2 linked regions of the Schizosaccharomyces pombe genome follow. The protein of the gene in region 1 interacts with the protein of each later gene in a biochemical or structural test. Each region holds a gene or a part of one and is shown on either strand. Other genes may lie near its edges.

What was found. Proteins that work in one complex are often made in the same cells at the same time.
Region 2: of the proteins of mak2 (region 1) and mpr1, one has a biochemical effect on the other in vitro, tested with the Schizosaccharomyces pombe proteins (one study listed by BioGRID).

The regions. Positions count from the first base shown.
Region 1 is NC_003424.3:4,024,998-4,028,756, reverse strand, and holds the start of mak2 (phosphorelay sensor kinase Mak2), read right to left. Parts: upstream 1,739-3,759; 5' UTR 1,644-1,738; coding exon 1-1,643. Other genes in the region: Tf2-6 (retrotransposable element/transposon Tf2-type), read right to left, coding at 2,264-3,759. UniProt on the Schizosaccharomyces pombe protein: Involved in the control of the SAPK-dependent transcriptional response to peroxide stress. Regulates sty1 activity.
Region 2 is NC_003423.3:1,201,113-1,204,871, reverse strand, and holds the start of mpr1 (histidine-containing response regulator phosphotransferase Mpr1), read right to left. Parts: upstream 1,821-3,759; 5' UTR 1,116-1,820; coding exon 228-1,115; 3' UTR 1-227. Other genes in the region: aspartate aminotransferase Maa1, read right to left, coding at 2,898-3,759. UniProt on the Schizosaccharomyces pombe protein: Binds to the msc4 response regulator which is part of a multistep phosphorelay system that transmits oxidative stress signals to the spc1 MAPK cascade.

The DNA of each region.
Region 1 (3,759 bases):
ATCATGCCAATTATCAAAGAGAGCGAAGGATGATCAGCCAAATGTAATTCATCCAATATTATAATGACAGGTCGAACTCTGGAAGTGAAGCTTAGTATTTCTAGAAGACAAACCATAAATCCTAAACGACCGCTTGCACTGCGGAATTGTTGGGGATCTCTCTTTTTTAACTTGAAATAGTTTTCTCTTTTGCAATGTAGATTATATTTCGGAGATAGTAGCGAGTTTAATTCTGGAACATATTCAAATAGTTCTCCCATGTAAATCAATTGAAATCCAAGAAATTCCCACAGCGATGTAAAGTAATCAGTAACTAGCTGTTTTTCTTCACGAAGAGTCTGTTGCATAATTAAAGAGACACATTTAAAAATGGCAGAATATGGAGAAAAATGATGACCTTTAAAAGAGCTCATTGCAAAATATCCAAATTTTCTTGCTTCATCGGCGACAGCATTAAGCAAATTACTTTTTCCAGAGCCCTTCTCACCGGTAACTGTAACAACTTGGCAATATGTAGCCTCATTATCTACTGGACGATATTTGAAAAGGTGTTGCTTTGGAAGTTTATCAACACGCTTAGCACTCGTTAGAAGATCGCGTTTTGAAGAAAAAGCTACAAGCTCGTGGAAGATCCGGACGTAATCTGAAGAATTGGTCAATAGTAATTTAGGAAACTTAAGCTTTTCTTGCTGTGGTTTATTTATAGATAACAATTTTTGGTCCAGCAAAGGAGAAGAGGTGATTGTAGAAAATTCTTGCATTAACTCAACAATCGTATAACACAAATCGGTAGCAGAAGAAATTCTTGAGTTCATAGACTTGGCAGTCATTTTTTGAATCAATTGATCAAGCGCTGGAAAGGCATCAGGACGACGAGGCAATACAGAAGGAAACTGTCTCATATGAATCGATTGAACAATTCTCATAGATTGCCCACCCCAGGGATATTGCTTGGTCAAGATAACATAAAAAAGAATACCCAAAGAATAGATATCGGACCTGGAATCTAACGGTCGCCCCACATTTCCAATTTGTTCAGGACTAAAAAACTGAAGTTTGTGACATATATTCTGGACTTGATAAAGACGCTTCCAGTTTAAGGAAGACAAGGTAAATCTGATAGGGGATACGCTACTCCCGATGGTAAGCAACTTTGCATGAATAGGGGCATTCAAATCATAATGGAAAGTGTCAAGACGAATTTCGCCATGCACGATTTTTTTTTCATGTAAAAAACATAAGACGTAAGAAACGCCAAGGGCAAACTTGAGAAATAATTTTAGATCCAAAGGGTTAGGATTCCCTAACCACTCATCCAGAATGTTAGGCCCAGGATCATCGTAAATAAGCGCACCTAAGGTTTCGTTCAACAGTAATATATATGCGGGAGCAATAGCATAATTTCTTCCATTTGGATGAGATGACAACTGACGCAACAAAAAGTATTCATTCTCTAGCTTGAAAGTTTGTTGGGAAAACTTAAAAATTACTTTTCGCCTTGTTTCTACATGGACGGCACGCACCAAGCACGCAGAAAGAAGAGAAGAAGGGTTCGATTGCGTACGAATTGGTTGGAACTGGAACTCTCCCAACTGAGAAATTGCATAATCAATTGCAACGTCCAATGACTTGTACAAGCTCATTGAGAATTTGAACTAAAAAAAATAAAAATAAAATCAATAATTATCCTTAATACGACATGTTAAACTGTAAATAATTAATATTTAGAATATAGTATAAAATGAGAAGTTGAAGGGGTGGATTTATTGTTAACTTTAGAATTTGCCGTCACCAATTAGCATGACAGAGGGTATCCTTATACCATTTAACAAAAAATGTGGTATGCTTCTTATTGATTTTAAAATGTAAGCTACGCAGTTTGGTATCTGATTTAAGGATACGTAGAACTGCGGTGAGTTTTCCTTGTGATCTATTATATTACGATACACAGGTTGTATAAGTAGCAACTGAGTATAGGTATTGTATTAACTGGGTTATAATGTTACCTATCACTAATATAGCTCATAACTGAACTGAGGAACGAGGTTCAGCAGTAGCTCTATTTATAGTATTCAGATAATATTGATCTTAATAGATTATCATTAAGATCAATCTCCATATCGTATCATACATGGTACGATATATAATTAGAACATGTGACATATAGTGATACTCAACGTAGTGTATTATAGCGTAGTGTAGTATTGCTGACATTGCCCTCCCCAAGATTTTCTATGTAAATCTGAGGATAAGTCATATGTTCTCAGATATTTAGATTATTGTTTTTAATATAATCATTGACAATTGCTTTGTCCGCTTGTAGCGCTGTAGCTAATGTAGTCCATCCTGACATAATAGTACTCGGATTTAGATTCGAAATGTACTTGACATTTAAGTAGAGTACTTGTTCTCTGTTTTTATGTTCTAGGATATGAAGAATTGTTCCAATATCAGACTCATCAATGGTAGCGTAATTGAGTTCTGAATTATGTCGATACTTTTCTAGGTGAGAAACATGAAAAGTAGATGAAAACATGTGCTTGATTGAATCTGGAAGATCCAATTCATAGTTGTTTGGACCCGACTTCTGTAACACATAGAACGGTCCTGCAAAACTAGGTGCTAATTTATTGGATTTATGAAGAAAACCTGTTTTCGTTCTTTTGACCATAACTAGGTCTCCAGGTTGAAATTCTTCAATTTCTTGTATTTTCATATCGAAATACTTTTTCATCTTTATGTTGTTTGTATTCAAGTGTTCTTTAACTGTTTGAAATACTTGGATCGTTTCCTGAGAGTTTTCGTCAGTTTTGTCACTAAAGCTAGGTAACTCTAAAGGTGATAAAGCTGGTGAATAGCGATGTACTATCTCAAAAGGTGTCATTTGAGTTGCTGAATGTATCGCATTGTTGTAAGATTGTTGCACTAGGGATATATGATCTACCCATGTATTTGGATGTGTGCTACATACACATCTTAGTAATTTCTCCACAGTTTGGTTTGTACGCTCAGTTTGTCCATCAGTTTGTGGTCTGTATGGTAACGAAAATTTCATAACGAAATTATATTTATGTGCGAAATCTTTCCACGTTTGGGAAGTAAAAATATGATCATTATCTGCAATGATTTCTTTTGGATTGCCGAAATAAGCAATAACTCGTTGATCAAACATTCGAGCTGTTTGCTCTGCTGTAATGGATTTCGTACAAGGTACTAAGATTGCCATTTTTGAAAATCGGTCAACTACCACGAAAAGTGCATTATAACCAGATGATTCTGGTAAAGCTGTAATAAAATCCATTGATAAAGATTCCCAAGGTCTTTCTGATGGGGGAATTGGTTGTAAAGGTCCATAAGGTTTATGATTCCTAGATTTGTTTATTTGACATGTATGGCAGTTCTGTACATATTCTTGTATTTGTTTTCTTATTCCTTTCCACGTAAATCTACGTAATATAATGTTTGTAAGAAGTTCAATGCCTGGATGAATCAATTTACCTTCTTCATGATACTTTTTAATAATTGTCCTAGTCAGCTGAGTATCATTAGGTAATAAGATTTGGTCTTTACTGTTAATTAGTAAGCCATCTTTGAGTTGGATATTCTCTTCCACTCGTTTGTCTTCATTGTTTAGTAAATTCAACAATTTTGTATCATTCGTATATTCTGTAACCACTTGGTTTTTAAAATCATCGGTTATCGAGATTTGATTAACAAAGTTGATACTATTGTCTTCTGAATCTTTTGGAATTGGTTCTG
Region 2 (3,759 bases), on another chromosome or scaffold:
TTGTATTACTTCACTCTATTTGCTTTGATAGAGGGAAGCACTTCAAAGTACGGGAAAAGTGTGGGCGTCATAATAAATATAACTATTCAAACCGTAAAAGCTGGAAATTCATCACTAACTTCAAGTTATCGTAAATTTGGGAAAACTAGAAGACTTTGATAGACAACTGGTATAAATGTCATAAAAAGGGGGAAAGAAAGGCTAGGTACTTTGACATGTTGAGACTTTTATGTAGAAGAATTTTTTTCATAAAAGTCAAGTAAGTAAGCTCGAGCATCCTTATAAAAGTCGTTCACAACCGACAGAGATTTGCTAATCAAATCCAATGCAATTTCCTCGCTCGGTAATTTCATTACACCATCACGACTGCGTAGAGATCCGTAATTTTGGATACGTTCACAAACCTTTCTCATTTTTGTAAGGCCCAATACAGCTGAAGATCCTTTAAGGAAATGCCCCAACGAGGAAAGCTTCTTCAAATCCTTAGCCTCTAGGGCCTTTTGGAGGTCGGCAATGGTAGTCTCTGCCTGCTCAAAATAATTCCAAACAATACTCTTACTAAATTCATGCTCATCATCATCATCCATCTCAAGCAACTGGTCAAAAACGGAATGATCAATGAGCTGTTTGTCTTGGATGAGTTCATCCTCAAATGACATATCGTAAGCAATTACTGAAAGTTCATCCGACAAGACACCAGCCCCAACCAAAGCTTTGACTGAAGCAGCGGGAAGATTTTTGGCATTCGCATGGTCATCGCTAATAGAATTGGAGATGTCAACGGTCTCCTCCGTGCCTTCAGGTGCGCCAGCCGTCTCATTAGCAGCCAATTGTTGATTGTTTTCACTTTTGCTCGAAGATATACGTGACGTTAGAGCAACATAAGCAGGATTTGAGGTCAGTGGTAAAGAAGTGTCATTCGCTCCAGAACCATTCATAACCCGATAAGCATGGGGGATCGCTGACCCTGAAGGAGAGCGTGCACGTTCAGCTATGCCAGAATCGTGAAGAGTCTTAGCAAGACTAGCGTTACGCGCCTGTCCATTTCTTCGGGCGACACGATTTTCGAAGTTTCGGTCGTATTTCATATACATGTTATCACGATATACACTCATTTTTTAGAAAATAATTAAAAGAAAATCCAAAAAAAAAAGAAAAGGGTTTAAAGTAAGAGCGAATGGAGAAGCTCAGCTAAATTTTATCAGCAGTATTACTTTGCAAACAGTAAAATGTAGCAATCGATACAGAATATTGTATCAGATTTAAGACTTTCCTTTTTTAACAACGATTTGAAATTAAAGCGAGGAAATGTGAGTTATTGAAAGAGGCGTCGACAACACAAACAAATTATAAAAATAATGTGTGGTATGCCAGCAAAATGAAATAATCAACAGTTTCACTAACCTGTAGTACAGTACAAGGGCTATTACCAAAAGAAGAAAATGGCTTTACCACACAACCCACAAATACTAAATAGGATTTGTGGATAAATCTCCTTCAACAACGATTCTAATGGAAAAGAGTCAATACGGTTTTGGAGCTTTTTTTGCGTGTTCGAAACTTTGATGCCAAGTTTTAGACGCCACACAAACTTGCCTTCAGCTTCTGCTAAGTTCTAAAATTATCAAGCTCTACTAAAAAGGCGATATTATTGTTTTCGTATCAATTCAAAAGACAGAAAACCAATCCTCACAAGATTGTTAAGTGCTCTCTCTATAATTAAGTTCAAATGCAACAAGGGTAAGGCAGAGAGTAGAGACTATGGTTTTGCCTGTGCTTATGTCTGATTTTTAGATATTCTAATGTAGTAAATGGGAGACGGAAAGTAGGTAAATGCCGCGAAAGAATTGTTTGCAAAACTCACACTTGGGAGTGACGCCATGCAACGTAATAAAGCAGTCAAATGTACCGATACACAACCACCCAAAACGATAAAGTATATTAATATAATGACGCTACGTCTCACTATACCCCGAATTTCAATGATTCCTCCATATCAGTCAGTGTAGAAAAAAAAGACGAACTGGAGATGGAAGAACAGTTTCCCACCATCTTTGGCATTTTCGGCCATTTCCTAATAAGCGCAGCAATTCCTGATGGCTGTAGCATTGCACATTGGGAGGGAAGAATGATACTCTTTTTGCAGATATTTATTTCGATATCACTACATAGGGCCTATCCTAGTCATTGGAAAGGTGCCAATTTCCAGCGATATTCTCCTATTTTTAGAAATAATTAAAAGCTTTGCACAAATTTCATTCCTACCTCACTTATTTCGTACATCTCAGAAGTTTGATGAACTTGGGAAATCCCAACATATGACAAATGCAATGGGAAAGATAATTGATAGTTTTCCAACGAAAAAGTGGGATTTAATATGTATATGAGAGAGGATAGTAAAATGTGCCAAATTTTGGGTTAACTAGAGGCAATCTAAAGTATGAAGTAAGTGAACTACTAGACAAACATCTACAGAAACAAAGTATGGAAATAAATGAAGATAGACAAACGAAAAGCATACTATTTCGAAAACGAATCAATATTTAGTCAATTTTTAGATCCAAAATCCATTCATTTAAAAACAGACCATGCCATCTATTTGGAAGCAAAACTGTAGTTATTCACCTCAAAGCGAAAGTATAAGGAAAAAAAAATAAGCCGAGACAATTAGGTTACTAAATACGTCTTCTCATGGTTTCGGAGAAATGAAAAGGGAAAAAAAATTAAATGTATACAAATATATGTATATGTATATGTGTGTTTGAGTCTGTCTATATGTATGTATAATAAAATAAAAACAGAAAGAAGAACAAAAAAGATTCAGAACAAAGAATCAATCAAAAATCCATCTGTCTATATAATAAACCAAAATCTTTTCACTTCAATTTCACCACCGACTAATTCGAAGTAACGGCATTGATAGCTTCGGCAAAGTATCTTACATTGGAAGTGTTGAGACCGGAGATGCTAATACGACCATTCTTAGTGAGGTAAATGTGATACTGTTTAGCCAAAACATCAACTTGCTGGGGATTTAAACCAGTATAACAAAACATACCAATTTGGTCAGTGATATGCTTCCAGCTGTGTTTATTCTTAAGGTCCTTTTCAAGGATGTTGCGAAGAGCCTTACGCATACTCTTAAGACGTTCGGACATGCCTACAACTTCACCAGCCCACTGTTCACGAAGTGCAGGGTTGCTCAATATATGGTTGGCAATTCTGGCCCCATTGACGGGAGGGTTGGAATACAAAGCACGAATGAGAATCTTAGTTTGGCTTTCGATACGAGCGGCTTCCTCAGCATCGTTGGCTAAAATGCTAAAGCAGCCAGCACGTTCACCATATAGACCCATGTTTTTAGCAAAGGATTGGCAGAGTAACATGGGGACATTGCTGGAGGCGAACAGACGAGTGGCATAAGCATCACGAGCAAAATCACCACTGGCAAATCCTTGGTAAGCCATGTCTAAAAGAGCAAAATGGTTTTTCTTTTGCATTGTTTTGAGGATATCATCCCACTGAGCTTTCGTAGGATCTACACCAGTTGGATTGTGAGCACAAGCATGCAATAATATAATAGAGCCATCAGGAGCTGAAGTTAAATCGGACAACATGCCTTTAATGTCCAACCCACGAGTAGCAGGATCATAATACTTGTAGGACTTAACGGTCAAGCCAGCTCGAGAAAATACATTCTTGTGATTTCCCCAAGTAGGGTCAGATACGTAAATAGTCTTTGATGGATAAAATGAAGCA